Caenorhabditis elegans: one gene and its partner. The protein of the gene in region 2 interacts with the protein of the main gene of each other region in a pairwise test. Each region holds a gene or a part of one and is shown on either strand. Other genes may lie near its edges. The genes, in order: idpb-4 and mup-2.

Region 1 (7,522 bases), on a different chromosome or scaffold from region 2:
GAGCTGCTGGAGAGGACGGGTAGGATGAAAAAAATATTAAACGACTTCTTGTAAATATAAAAATTTCAGACCAGAAGGACCACCAGGAGCCCCAGGACTTCCAGGAAAAGATGCCGAATACTGCAAATGCCCAGGAAGAGAAGGAGATGCTGGACGAAGTGCCAGACGTCATCGCAAATTCCAATTGTAGACAAATTCATGACATTTTTCCAAAAAATAAAACATACTTCTCAAAATTTTTTGTTTTGTATTTGGTTTACCATGGATGTTAAGAACTTTCTTGGGGAAAATAATTAAAATACAAAACTGTATAAATTATGTCACAAGCTTGGAAGTGCATTTGCAAAAAAACACTGGTGTAGAAGAACAAGAGGTTAGTATGACTTGAACAGAATAACTAATAGAAATTGGAGAGCATCCTTTTAGAAGGAAAAATGCACGACCTAGAACAGCTATTAATCTGTATTTGGCACTCGATTTATATTGCTAGAAATGGAACCTATTAGTATAAGGAAAAATAAGAGAAAAGGTGAGAAGGTCGGAAAAAACACTTCATGAATATATTTAGACGAGGAAAAAACGAAGGAAATAATGGGAGAGTGACGATAGAAAGAAGGAAAACGTTGAAAACTGAGTCGAAAAGAAAGAAAAGAACGAAGGTGAACAAAAACGACAAAGTTTTGAAAATCATTTCAATTTTCAGATTTCAGTTCAAGACCGAGTAGTTGGAAAACATGTGACCTCAAAAAAAAAAACAAAAAATTTCACTTAAAGGGGAAAGAAGTGAAGTAGAACTTCTGCATAATCATCAAAAGATTCCCGAATAGCTTGGTTCCAAAAGTTCAAACACAAATTACTTTTGGAAACTTTCATTTGTTTTGAACTGTAGCGGCATGTCGATTTTTTTCAAAATACAAATTACAATAGAAAATCAGGAAAACAATTGGAAGTGATTTTGGAAAAAAAAACGTTGAGGAGATTTGAGCACGAGACAAACAATTTCTGTAAATTTCAGTTCAAAAGCTTGAAAACGGTTCTTTCTTGCAAACAAAACCTAGTACCTCTTCACTTTAACATACACTTCACGAACAAGTTTTCTTTTGAAAATAATTTCTGAAAATCACGTTAACGAATCTCAAAATTCAGGAAATGCTCAAAAATGTCTATTTGCGTACTACGAAATTCCCGAAAAAACATCTGTGACTTTTTTCTCTCTTTTTGTTCGAAAAAATAACTTATGTCGCCGTGGTGGTGCCCTCGGGAATCGGAAAGCGTCAATGTTGTGTTTGTTGTTGTTATCCCAAACGAGAAGATGAATAAGAGGAGGAAAGATGAACGGAAAGCGAGAAAAAAAGAAGATGGAACACGTACATGAGCTTCTCCTGCTTTGAATACGAATTCAGTTGGTGCCTGCCCTCTCTTGGCTTGAAACTAGAACCTCTGGAACCTTTTCGAGTCGACACCATCAACCTGCTCATAAAATTCAATGCAAAAGAGAAGTGCGGAGACTGGAGGGAAAGAGATATTGAAAAAGAACTATAAAAACTATAAAGTGCAAAACGAGTAAAAAGAGTGAGAAAAGAAGAATAAACTAAAGAAGCAAAATGTTGGAATCAAGACAAGTTCACTCAACCGAAAATGATCTCTTTTATACTTTTTAGAGTCAAGAAACATGAATCAATGATTCTAAACTTATAGAACCTTTTCCAATAACGATTTTAATCCGAGATGTGGGCAGGGCTTGTTTTTGAAATATTCAGGTTATTTCCTATTTTACTTCAATTTCCTTGTCATTAATCACAACTGCGATTTCAACCACTTATTTAGATCTTTTAAAATTAAGCTTAAAATGACCGATAACAAAAAAAAATGAATTCAAACATGTTTTGGCTTTCTCTAGTAAAAAAAAGTGTACTTTCCGGATATTTTTTTGCAATTTCTTCATGATTTTACTAAGTTGAAAAATAAAGACAACGGTACCACGAGGGTTAAGGCACCTTAAAGTATCTAGTCCGGAGGCCCAAAACTACAAAATTTGGAAACAACATGGTTTTAATTACTTTTGAAAAAACTGAATCAGATAATACTTTTGGTTTCCTATCTTTTTATTTTAAGTATGAAAAACATAAAACAAAAAAGAGTCAAAGAGACACGAAAAGTCGCAAAAAAGAGATCTAGGAAATCGAATAATAATGAAATTTCATATTGCTCTCATGTGTGTGTTTGTGTATTTTTGCTGTGAGCATTGAGAAAATGGGAAGAAACAAAAAAAAAATGAAGAGGAGGTCTTTTTGAAGGACCCCAGTGATGCCAAGAGTCAGTGAATCCAATTAGAATGCCCTCGAGAACATGAAAAGAGGTCCAAAAAATAAACAAATGGTACCGACTTCTGGAGACCCTAATTTGAGAGTGAAATCCTTTTTGCGTATTTTTTGCCTTTAATTCGGAATTTCATCAGTTTTGTTTACCCCCACAGCACAACCGCGTTTTTTTTCAATACCAAAATTACAAAACGCGAATTGCAAATTCAATCATATTTTTTTAAGACTTAAAAATTCTTTTAAAAATTTTCCTCGCAACTGAAATGTAAAAAAACCACCCAACGAAAAAAGTAACGTTTAAATTAGATTCTCGGAGAATGCTTTGATTGGGTGTTTGCATTTGGCGCCGCCAAGGTGTCAACATAACCATTTGCACCTGCCATTATTCCGTAAAAGCTAAGGACAACACAAATTTATTATTATTATTATTATTGGGATAAATATTACTAATTTTAGTAATAAGTTAAGTAGCTGGGTGCCAAAAATAAATAAGAATCAACTGAATTTAACATCTGTCAGCCTTTGAGGACTTTCTCTTGATTCCGAGAGCACGGTTAGCATCATCGATTCTGAGGTTTTGGAGGGAACGACGCTTACGTCCTCCTCCTCCGCATCCACAGCATCCACATCCACATCCACATCCACAACAGCATGGACGACAGCAAGTGCAGCATCTGGTGCAGCAGCAAGTTCTACAGCAGGTACAGCAACGGCGACAGCAGCAGCAGCATCTAGAAGTTTCAGTTAAAGCTTACTATATATTAATAAAATTAAACTATATAATAAAATTGAATTTCCATTTTTAAAAATTCCATGATATGCTCAATCTGGTAAAATTTTTTATAGCTTCAAGTATTTCCAAAACTGGGTACCTTGGTCTACAACAGCAGCATCCACATCCACCACCTCCTCCTCCGCATCCACAACATCCACATCCACAACCGCAGCACCCACATCCTCCTTGTCTTTTCACTCTTGAGCTAGAATTTCCTAGAGTGTCGATGGCAGTTGAAGCTGTTGAAACATCAGTTCCAACAGTTGCCAACTCAGTCGATGATACTGGAAGAACCGCAGATTGAACCTGGAAATATTGAAAAATTGAGAAGATATTAAGTAATTGAAAAATAATTCTCACTTGAGAAACCGCAATAAAAGTTCCGATGGCAAGGAGAATCGCAAGAGTGGAAGTAGTCATTATAAGATTAGGAGTTAATGAGAATGATGTGAGTTTCCAAAGTTCTTCCTCACTTTTATACAGGCTTCATTGCCATTCCGGAAGGGATATTGGCCAACATGTTGCGTAATCGTAATCACTCGCGGAAAACTGTCAAAATGTCTCGATCAATTCAAACAATTTGCATGTTGCTCAACTTTGCTACCCACTGGTGATGGTTGATCACTTGGATCTTGACTGGAATTTAGTTTATTTGAAATGAACTTTCTTAGGTAGGAACATCAACAACTATTGCTTCCATCTTTCTCTTTTTAAACTGATGTTCGGCTTCTTTCTTCCATTTTAGTCTAAAAAGATACCCCATCTCAACCTCAAATCGCAGACTTACAAAAAAATGAAATCACTTTGTACAATAGTTAGCTGATCAAATCACTCAAAGATAGCTCTTGTTTCCGTGCAAAAAAAACTGTGTTTTCATTCATCAACTACTTGTGTCTTCGCACCTTTACTCGTTTGTTTCCGTCAAGTACTCATCTATTTTTATCATATTTACCGCCCACAGGTACATTTTTTGCACATTTGGTGACTCGCCGGAGGTCACACTTTTGTTTTTGGAATGGATATATGACAAGGAGACAGAAGACACAAAAAAATGAATGAAGTGCCAGTGATAGTGAAATGGAGATGATACGTAAAAATGTATGCCAACATAAAATGTATGCCAACTCCGACATACTTAATTGGCAATGATGATGATGTCTCATAATTGATACATTCCGATTGAGGACCGGGACGTCACAATGCCAGTCTTCTATGTTTTTTCTAGGATACGCCCTGACTTGAATGTAGTAGAAGCTCTCAGACAATTATGTTTGCGTATCTTGTTGACAGTTGATCATTTCGGAATATTCAAGCCCTTTGATCAGCAGCCGATCAGTAAACAAAACAAAACACAGCAAAATGATAGAGCTGGGTCATCGAAAATCGCTTATCACTATGTAATACTACTATTGGTTTGTTAAATTGACATTGATCGTTGGTGAGATGTGTTGTGATAAGAAAAGAAAAACAACACTTGTAAAATGGGGATGTTGGTTGATGTCTCTGAGATTCTTGCAAAAAATGTTTATGTTTATGTTGTAACTGTATTGTTGGAATATATTACAAATCTGGAAGATTTCAAAAAAGAATATTCGGAAAAATTGTTTTTAAAATTAAAGGTGGAGTAGCAAAGTTTTGGGACTTTTTCCATTAGACTAAAAATGGGCTACAAAGACTGAAAATTCAATTCTCGTGGGGCATTTTAAATCTAATGAAGCATAATGACTGAAAAAGTACATCACGGTACAATGTACAATGAACATACTTTTTATCAAATGTTCTAAAATCAGTCCGATACTGTAATTTTCATTGTCTTTCTAACAATGAAAATCTGCAACATTCATAAACATGTTATTCTTTTTCTTTTTTAAAAATTTGATAGGTGCAATCATTGATTTGATGAACTCGTTGTAAATATCATAAAAACTGGATATAAAATATGATAAGAAAATGATTTTTATTTGAGAAACTCTTCTTATGTCTTCTTCTTATGCTAGAATATAGTGTTGTTGATATGTAAACTTTTGATTGAATCTTTAATATTATCATCTCATAAACAGGGCTATAAAAGTTCAAAAATATTCGTGATTCCCATAAAATAAATGTTATCAAAATGGGAGTTCGATGTGCACACTCGTGACTTTCAAGAACACAATATTTGATTCAGATCAACTAGAAGTAGAACATTAGTGAAGAACTCGAACTAAATGAGAAACCTAAACTTTTATCTTAACTAGACAAATAAACTGATAGTGATCATGAAAATATTCCCCGAAATTCAAAAATTCTTCCTGTGACACACTCTTCACTTTTTCCCACACTAAACATGTATTTCAAAGACATTCCTGTTCGCGTTCCCGCCATTGTTTTTTGTAAATCCATGACTTGACAAAAAACAGTGCCTTGAGCAAACTTCCGCTGACGTCCGAAATGTGCCAAGTGTTCTTTGTGCTTTACGTTTCATATTTTCTTTGACGAACGTAGAATTTTACTAGAAAATTGGTTCAAAAAGCAAATAAATTTTAATATTAAGGATGAGGATATTTCAGTTCATTTGGCACATTATTTTGTATTTGATCACAAAATTGCTCAAAATAAACCTCGCCCAAAATTTGGTTTGCAATATTGGTTTGAAATATATTTTTGTAAACAGGAAATATATTTTTCTTCAGCGATAGAGACATGGGAAAGAAAATGTACGCTGATGATCTATTAACCAACATCGTATAAAAAGCAAAACTAGTTGTCCGTTTCATTGAAACCAATTCTTTCTTCCCTTGCTTTTTTTTGTCCACAATTGGATTGAGAGACGACAAACCAAATGTATACTGTGTTTTTTGAAAAATATCTTATCAGTAGAGTAAAGGTTGAATGAAAATGTTGTTGATCTGAAAGTTATACATCTGAAATACCGGTTAAAAATTATTTGGATCACTGTAGAGATAATTAGAGAGCAATGTTTAGTGTTTTAACTGGTGTTGTTTATAATATTTGAAAATTCCCAATGATTATAAGTGCCGCAACATTGGCAGTGATCTTGGACTTTAAAAAATCTTTAAAAAAAAATCAAATATTTCCGGTATAGAATTAAAAAATCAATCATGTAGTCAAATAAAATTGATTGTCTTTTTTAGACTGTGACAAAATGATAACGAAACACATTTGTAATCTAGGATGACACCTTTCCATAAATGAAAGGCTATCAAGTTTAAAAATCTGAAACAGGTCTTTATAAATGCATATCATGTTTTTTAATTTGAAAAGTTTGTGGAACTAACCCCTTTTACCGGTTAGTATCTCTCGTTTGTTTTCAAAAAAATAACACAAGGTTGTCATTGAAATATCACTGATGACTGATGATAAACTAAACTTTATGTGGAAAGTCACGTAATCGGGAAACCCCTTTTGCCCCCTGCATGCCCCCTATCACAGTTTTCTTTGAAATCAAGTTATCACCGGAATCCTCTCAATTGTTATCAATGATTTCTTATCAAATTGGCTCTTGAGGAAACCCCCTTTTGCAGCGTAATTTTTTCAACGAAATTTCTCAATTCCGTAAAGATCAAATGAACACTGAACCGAACCCAACGACACAGATCAAAGTTCTGGAGGCGGGTGATGTAATAGAAAACTGAAAGAAAATCATTGGGAAGCAAAAGAGATGGCATCATGAAAAATTGTCGAAAATTGTTAGAAATATGAAGAATGATGGAAAGTTCAAAACTATCTTCAAATAATACAAATCAATCAAAGAAAAAAACTTTCTTGTCGACTTGACTAGAGTATCGTAGGATCAGAAGATCAAATAAATAATTTATTTATTTAAAGGTAGATCGAAAGTAGATCAACACAAATTCTCACTCTTTCTTCACCCCATATAACACTTTTCATATGTAGTTTGTCCCCTATTCAGTTTCCCATAAGATAAATTCAATTTCATCGATTCCCCCAAACCCACTCATTTGCGTTTTGTTTGCCTCTATGTATAGACAGTTCGATTTTTCATTATTCATTAATTTTTTTGATATTTCATTATTTTTATTGTTTGTATTGTTTCGAGATTTCACCTAGACACTAGCTTTTGTAAGTTTACAACATATGTAATTATACCTAGTTCCAATTGAGCAAGACTAAAAGTGTTCCGAGTTAGTTTTCCGACCGTTGTGAAGTTCTATTTTTAACTACTCCTATCTTTTGATCAAAGATACATTTTGCAATCCAAAAAAAAGAGTTCAAATCTTCATTAGATGATGCTTCATCCTCCTCATCAATCGCTCTTTTGATCATTCGTTTACACTGAAAATTGTCAAGGTAAAGAGAAGACTTCTCTCGTTTCATAAACATTTGTGTGCACCGAGCGCAATGCGACCCCGACCACGTGACGCCAGTCTAGAAGGGAATTGAAATGATGTGATTTTTCAAGGAA
Region 2 (8,296 bases):
AAAATTCAGTATTTCAAATGTCAAAGACGAATTCTAAGTTCCCTCAAAATGTACTAATCAGATGAAACGCATTGTACGATTAACGTTTACACATTGAAAATCGATTTTTTGAGTTTGTTTTTTGAAATGAAAATCTTTTGGTTGTAATGAACTTGTTTACCTGTTTTACCCGAATATTTTTCGATTTTTTTTTTGAATTTTTTGTACTTTTTCACAACATTCTAAAAACTATAAATCCACAAATGAAAGACCATTCTGAGTGATATCTGTGTCTCCAAATTAGTAATTTCATCACTAGGTACATTTTTGAATACACTATCTGTAAACGAAAGCTTTCAATTTTTTTCATTCTTAAAACAAAACAATTCCCAATTTCTCATCAACTTCTATCCCAATTATTGAAAATTTATGCTCGTTAGTCTTTGTATCCCAATTGATTATTTCTTCTCACTTCAAAATTCTATTTTTCTGTTGTCATTTTATTGTACATTTCTCGATTTCCTGGTGTAAACTTTGTTGCTTCTCGGTTGTAATTCTCTACTGAAACCCAGTTCCTCACTGTTCTCGCCCCGTTGCTTTCATTTCTCACTTTGCGAAAAAAAAACATAAGCAAATACTATGAGGCCTATTTGTCAGACTTTCCAGATGTTCTTCCCAACCATAACTACTCCCCAAACTCTAAAAATTCCCCAGGTCGTTTTCAAAATTGGCCCCAGATGTGTGTCTCGTATCTGTTTTGCTTATTCAAATCTAACCAATAACTTTTATTTTTGAATTTGATAACTTGATTTTGAATTTGATAATGTGTATAATTTTTATCATAGAATGTTTTCAAATGCCTCTCTGATTAGTTTGTTACACACATCAAACTGTGGCGTGTCATGCCGATTTTCTCTCCTACCACAAAAAACTTTGCCCCAGAAATTCATCAACTTTGCTGTTGTAAGCAAATTTTTTCTCACCGCTTTCAAACGATTATTTTTCTCATTAGCTAGATCCCAATTTCTCATATTTTTCCAATTCCGTCTTAGTCCTTTCCTTTTTCAATTTATATTATTCATATATATTTTTTCCGTTGACTCGACTTATTCAAACTTTAATAATAAATATTATAATCAAAATTTGTCTTTCCACGAATTCTTGTTTTAATCTGTTTCATGAAATGCTTACAATTCGAATGGGAATGCAATTTTTATGATAAAGACTTTACTGATAAGCACAAACCGGAGAGTATGCAGAAACAGAGTACTTGAAGAATTGGAGAATTGGTTAATAAATTGGAAACAAATGCAAAAAGTTTTGATTGGAATATTAGAAAATGGATTTTTTTTGGTTGGGATTGGGTTTATTTTAATAAATTTGATAATCAAAAAATTGTGAAATGAAAAAAGGTAAAAAACAGGAAATTTATTCGACAACGACCTCTTCTCCAACATTTGGATCCTCGGTGACTTGTTGTGGCTCGAAGTCATCAGTTGGAACGAAGAGTGGGACTGGCTCGACTGGTGCTCTGGCTCCCTCAACCTTGACCTGCTCAACGTACTTTGGTGGCTCCAAGTTTTTGCGGATCTGCTCGAGTTCTTCGTTTTGCTTGCGTCCCCACTCTGCTGGTGGTCGTCCGGTTCCGCGGACGAGGGAAGCCTGCTTCTCCTCTTCTGGGTTCTCGAACAAGTACCGACGGTCTCCGTAAGATCTTCTGTCGGTTTGACGGTCGAACTTAGAAGCGGTGGTGATCTTTGGTGGATGGACAGAGGAAGCAGCCTCCTCTGGGTCAAGTCCCTTCTTGAGAGCCTTGTTACGGGCGGCTTGACGTTGACGCTCGTGTAACTCTTTCATCTGAAGTAATTGAAATTTGGTTGAATGTCACACACAATATCAAATAAGTCTCATTGAATAGTTTAAACTTACGTCATAGTCTTGACGTTCACGTCTCTTCTCCAAGTCGTACTTCTCAGCCTCGAGCTTGACGATACGAGCATGAAGGCCTCTGATTCTCTCCTTCAAATCGTTTGGAAGAAGTCCAGAGACGTCTTGTACACGGCAGACGGCGGCCAAGAAGTTTCTCTTGGCATCCTCCATCTGTTCCTTGCTCATGACATCCTTTCCTCCCTTAGCCTGAAAGTTTCTTAATTAGTATTCGATTTAAAAATGATACAATAAAAATACCTGAGCCAAGTTTCCGAATTGAGCAGCTTGGTCTCCCTTGGAGGCGACAGTGAAGTTGCGTCCAGCTCCGGCTTCAACTCTTCCGTTGAAAGCTCCAGCCATCATTTGTTGACGACGGACCTTCTCCTCGTTCTTGCGGATCTTCTCGGCATCAGCCTTAGCCTTGCGTTCGTCTTCTTCCTTGCGACGGCGCTCGTCATCTTGACGTCTACGTTCAGCGAACTGACGCTCGTCCTCTTCACGCTCAGCTCGGCGCTTCTCTTGCTTCTCCTTGAGTTCACGAAGCTCTTGTTCGATTTGCTCCTTCTCAAGAACACGGCGCTGCTCGTAATCGAGAAGTTTAGCGGCTTCCTCTTCCTCGTGACGCTTCTTGGCGGCCTAGATATGAATTTGGTTAACAATTTTATGAATGAAACGGAAGGTCTCCCAAGAAGTTATACTCACCAACATGGCAATCTCAGCCTCAGTCATCTCCGCTGGTGGCTTCTCCTCTTGGACTGGAGCACGACGCTCCTTGACCTCTGGTGGAGCGACTACTTCCTCGGTGGTCTCCTCTCTACAATTTCAGTGTTATACAAAAAATCACGAATTCAAAGCTTAAACTTACGGCTCTTCAGCCTCAGCTGGGGCCTCTTCGGTCTCCTCGACCTCCTCCTCCTCGACCTCCTCATCAGAGCTAAAAAATTAAAAATTAGAATGTCTAGAAAAATGATAGGTATATAACTTACTATACCTCCTCCTCGTCGGACATGATTAGTTAGGTTTAGGTTCTGTAATTATATGAAAGTTAAATTCTCAAAATTCAAAATCTCAAAACATATTGATAAGAAGTGATGACACAGAAGAAGAAGGAAATTTGAGTATGTGCCGGTGGGATGTTGAAATCGACAATGAAGAGATATGAAAGTGCTTGCTCCGGGAGGCCGTCGTTGGCAGATAAGTGGGAGGGGCTGGCGGGAGCGGGAGCTCTCAGGGAAAAGAAAAGTATAACATACGGACACAATCTGTGCTGTAAACCTTACACCTACGCAGAGTGAGCAGCCGTGCCCTCCTCGTGTGGCTCTCGTCTTTCTCTCTGCCTGGGGCTTCCCGCGGGCAGTCTGCGTTTCCTCAGAATACGCAGACTTCTGTGATGTGCTATCGTAGAAATAGGGCATCATGTTTCGATCCGAAGGCTCAATATATTTTTGAATCACCAACATTGATTCGAGAAACGGGTTTCTCTGCTTCTCTCTCGATCACCAAGATGTGCACTTCACTATCTCTTCCTCCTACGCTGACACAGACAAGGGACCAACAAGAGACAGATGATGATGAAGAGTTTGGACAAGTTGAAAAAAACAACATAGTTTATACTGGTCAATTGATAAAAATTTCTAACAAGTAGTTAATATGTTTTAGAAATTACTGTGATTTTCCTATTATTCTTGTATCTTCCACTGCACACTAATTCTAATTGGTCAGCTTTAAAATAATAAAAACGCGTTAAATATTTATGTGGTTCAAAAAGTTTTGTTAAAATTTAGGTAAAATACGGTAAACTTATTTTATAATTACGAATTTTCAATGAATCATCACTTTTATTTAAATATTTTAACGCGCAAATGAAAACGTAGTGCTCTTTAAAATTGATCCATTTAAAGTAAACAAATCATTTTAATATTTCTACAAATATTAAATTTCAAAATTCAATGTTTAGAAATCAATGATATTTGTGTAATAGTTTCCAATTTACCGAGGCACCTTGCCAATCGGCTATCATCTTTTTCCAACAAGCTCGTTTCCACCAAAAATCCACTCACAGTGGCCCCTGCAATAAGACAAGCGGGGCGAGCATACGAATAATATTTGGGTGGCACAATTGTAAAAACGCAAAACAATAATACAAATATTCTTTCTTTTCATTTGAATGCAGCTGATGATCTTCGAGACGTTTTCATTCAAATTCTTGTAAGCCAGTGTCAATTGGCCGTCTGGTTCAGTTGCGGGGATCCAATTAAGGGAATTTGAAAAATTGATTCTAAATAATAAATAAAACATTAATTTCAAAGAACATAATAATAAACAAGGCAAAAAAATTACGAAAAGTGTGTTCAATGTGGTGACAACAGTCCACACTAATTAAATTATTGCAAAAAAATAGTGTTATTCTAAGAAATACGAACATCTTTGTGAAATACAAAATAAATGTAGTAATTAATCATCAATTTCAAAACTTTAGTCTAATTAATTTGATATTAACATATGAGATCAAAGATATAGATTACATTTTCGAAAATGTCAAAAAATTACCCTTATTCAGAAAATGTATGTTTTTGACACCTTGTATTTTTCTTGTATTTTATAACATATTTTTTGAAACATTGTATTTTTGGTTTCTAACTAGCAAATTAGTCTATGGTGGAGTAGGGGCAGTGGGGTAATTTTTCTGAACTACCACTCTTATAGTACCAAAACTATCAAATATCATAGTAAAAAGTTTCAAAAACTCTTTGCACATATTCAAAAAATTGACACACAAAAAGTGAAAATTACTAAGTTTTTATCACTTTTTGAGAAAAAATAGCACAGTCGCATGTTCGAGCGAATAAAATGTTTGAATATTATTATTTAAAACATAGGTAGACCATGAAATTTGAAACAATTTTTATTTGGCCATTTTGGCACTATAGATTTTTATCAATTTTCCACAATCGCGCTATTCTACGCTTAATGCCACCGAAAACTTTTAGAATTATTTGTAATTCTGTAGTTAAAAATCTAAGTTTCACTCTGTGAAAATCATTTTGAACTATTTTTTAAGATATTAGATCTATTGATTAGCAATTTTTTAGATTATTTGTTGCTAAAAAGCTGTCATTCGCTAGACTTTAGGAATGAGAATTGGTGTTTCAAAAAATTATGGCTAAAATTAAGTCTTGAAAATATGAGTGTATATCACAAGCAGCTACCGTGTTTTAGCGCGTTTTCCTATTATTCTATAAAACACGTTTCAGAGATGTTTCTGGAAGTATTTTTGGCAACTGGTTGGAATCAAAATCAATTAAAAAATCTGATTTATTCAGAGGGTTTCAGTGACTTTCGACGTTTTTTAACCAGTTTTAAATATTACTCAGGTTATCAATAATCGTTTTATTTAGTTTTTCTTTTTATAGATTCCCAAGTTTACGAAGATATAATCTTAAACTTTAGTCGAGTCATTTTAAAGGGTGTAAATATTTTTTATTTTGCTCAAAGTTTCCAGGTTACTTCAGCTTTTCTATGTAAAATTGTTATTTTCATAAACACTACATTTAATACTTTACTGCACCACATTTAGACCCAAAAGTGACGCCATGCATTTCAACTCAACCCCATTTCTTAGGAGAGAGGCGGGGCCTAGTTCTAAAATTGGTATCTGTGGGTAGCTGTGAACTCGAGTGGGAGCCACACGCCTTTTTCGTCACTTTGACTTGTCCCTCTTGACTTCTATTAAGTTCTTTTTGCACCCAATTTGTTTGGTATTTACTTGACAAGATTTACTATGTCACCTAAATTCATCACACTTCTTCTGATTGCTTGCCTTTTTGCAGGTACGTTTTTCATAGTTTGAAAATGTTTCATACTTTGTTTTACGATACTTTTTTCTCATGCTGCATGTTGTACTTGCAATATTTCAATTTAAAGTATGTGTGTGTGTGGGAGTTAGTTAGTTACTTTGACTTGACAAGTGAAAAGAGTGATGTTGAAATTGAAATATGTAGGAAGTAAAAGTAGTTTAAAGTACCAACAACATATATTTAACACATTAATTTCAGCATTTATAAATATTGTTTAACTTTCAGGAGTATGCAGTAAATTTATCGCAATGATTGACCGAGCAGAAGTTGATCCTGAGGAGACTATAGACTTGGAGGAGGATCGCAAGGTGTGCTTCTGCTGTCGCGCATTCGTCTGCCGCCATCAATTATGTCCTTGTTCGCGGTTCACCGCTCTATTTTGATTTTTTTGTGTTTATTTAAAAATGAAGTGAATTAAAGTGACGTGTTTTTATCCACTCTTTTAACAAATACCGATAAACTTCCACCGAAAAGTAGCGCTTCATGCCTCAAACATGATTGATGGTAGAACAATACTCTGAATTTCTTTGTGTTTCTTCCGCATCTTTTCTTAGCTCCCATCAGTATGTAAACGAGCTTGCGAGGGCCACTTGGGAATCACTGGCAGCGTGATTGAGACACTAAAAACGACGTATTTTCCAGTCCTCGAAGATCCCGTTCTAGATATAAATATGTATTGCGTCATCATTTGAAAATGTTTTTATTTTTTCTGAAAATACATTTAGAAACAAATTGAGATCTGGAATTCGGCGGGACTGAACAAAATTTGAGCATTGTTAGTGTAATGTAGAACTACAAGGAAAGGTTTTCAACCCTCAGACATCAAATCGAAAACGGCTCAGTACCACTCAAAAACTAAAATTTCCGAAATGATAATTTACCCATAAACATCCTTAAATGTCGAAAGTCTGCCAAAACTGGCTGGAAAGTAGAGAAAAAAATTTCAGATCAAAACGGTTGGAGTTCAGAGTGCAGAATGCACATCTCTCGTTTTGATGTCTGTCGGGACGGGAAAATAAAAACCTTTCCTTGTTAGATAAAATCATCGGTAAAAATACATAAAGCTTCAGAAACATTGACAATATTTTGCTGAGCAAGACTCAAGCTACACCCTTCCTCCATGATTTGTCCTGACCAGTTCTACCCCGTCACGGTCACTCTCGTTCACATTTGATGGTATTGGCTGATGTCGATTGATAAGTCCTCTAAGACGAGTTTTCGATGCATCCATCTGCTCTCTAAACAAGAAGTAGAGTGCTCCAATAAATGGAAGTAGGCCACCGAGGAAGAAAAACCAAAAGCCGGATCCGATTTTGTATTTGTACTGAAAATAAAATCGTTTTGAATAACAAGAATTAATTAGCTAGGAAACAGTTAAAATATGTTTTTTGCTTCGTTTTACCAAAATATGTTTCTTTAAACTCAAACTTTCAAATTTCGTCTACACTTTTTTTTTTAGTAAAAAGCTAGGAAATTTCTATAATTTTCTGATATCAATAACGTTTTGATAAATTTGAAGTATCAAAATAATTTATGCGTTCTGTCTTAAAAATGTATGTAGGTTATTGAGTAGTGGAAGAATTCAGCTAAATACAACTTATATATTTGCTTATAATGACCTAGAATTCTCCAATTATTGGTGGGCTGGTAACCTTTCAGACCTTACATCACGTTTTGGTTTTTTTCAATGTTCATTTTTTCGTAGACATTTTTTGTGGGTGAAAAATTATTGATGAAAACAAGAGATTTTGGTAATTTAATAAAGTACTTCAAAATATATTATAACTTTATTTTCCTCAGTATGAAGTTTTTAAAAAAAGTAATCGTAAAAATCATAACGATTTATTTTTATCATATTTGCGTCAGATAACTTCAGCTTATGATTCTAATACACCCTTTCGAAAAAAGACTATTAAATTTGCAAAGAACACTCGTTGCAATACCAAAACACTTAAAAATAATTTTCATAGTACGCTTCGCTGAACAAACAGCTTATTGAATTAAAGGCTAGAAACCCTTCTGCTTCGATTGGAATATATGAAGTAACTTTATACTTTCTTTGAATCATCGTAAAAATCTTACATCTTCTTTTCTCAGAGACAATGGGAGAAGATTATCAGTGTAAGTTTCGTAAAGTACAAGTAGTAGGAGAATAATCCAAAGGCCAACTGCAAAAATAAGCATTAATAGTTTGTAGTCACGTTTTGGAACCGCACCTGGAACGAGCATTGCATGGAAAAATGCGAGTTTTCGCTTTTTTGTCAATTCTGTAAATGACTGGCTACAACAGTGTCCAATGGTATATGCGAGGTAGAAAATTTGAAACGCCAATATGACCAGAGCAATGTGGAATGTCACTCGAACAACTGAAAAATAAATATTTAGTGGAGAAAAATAAACTTATAATATATTTTTAAATAATACCTTTATTTTTTATTACAGCCACATCGAAACACTTTCAACTAAAGTTAAAAAACTTAAAACGTTTGTTTATCGTTTCCTTATTTTCAGATAATTCTTATCGAGATCTG

The links.
Region 1: the proteins of mup-2 (region 2) and idpb-4 interact in a two-hybrid assay, tested with the Caenorhabditis elegans proteins (one large-scale study listed by BioGRID).

The regions. Positions count from the first base shown.
Region 1 is NC_003280.10:8,734,008-8,741,529, forward strand, and holds idpb-4 (Intrinsically Disordered Protein, class B), read right to left. Parts: upstream 3,550-7,522; 5' UTR 3,517-3,549; coding exon 3,457-3,516; intron 3,403-3,456; coding exon 3,194-3,402; intron 3,053-3,193; coding exon 2,827-3,052; 3' UTR 2,719-2,826; downstream 1-2,718. Other genes in the region: Cuticle collagen rol-6, read left to right, coding at 1-19, 70-190.
Region 2 is NC_003284.9:6,407,292-6,415,587, forward strand, and holds mup-2 (Troponin T), read right to left. Parts: upstream 2,937-8,296; 5' UTR 2,918-2,936; coding exon 2,895-2,917; intron 2,843-2,894; coding exon 2,774-2,842; intron 2,723-2,773; coding exon 2,611-2,722; intron 2,545-2,610; coding exon 2,167-2,544; intron 2,116-2,166; coding exon 1,909-2,115; intron 1,837-1,908; coding exon 1,408-1,836; 3' UTR 1,180-1,407; downstream 1-1,179. Other genes in the region: nssp-78 (Accessory protein 7b), read left to right, coding at 5,690-5,738, 5,991-6,148; T22E5.6 (uncharacterized protein), read right to left, coding at 6,871-7,089, 7,848-7,933, 7,982-8,131. UniProt on the Caenorhabditis elegans protein: Troponin T is the tropomyosin-binding subunit of troponin, the thin filament regulatory complex which confers calcium-sensitivity to muscle actomyosin ATPase activity.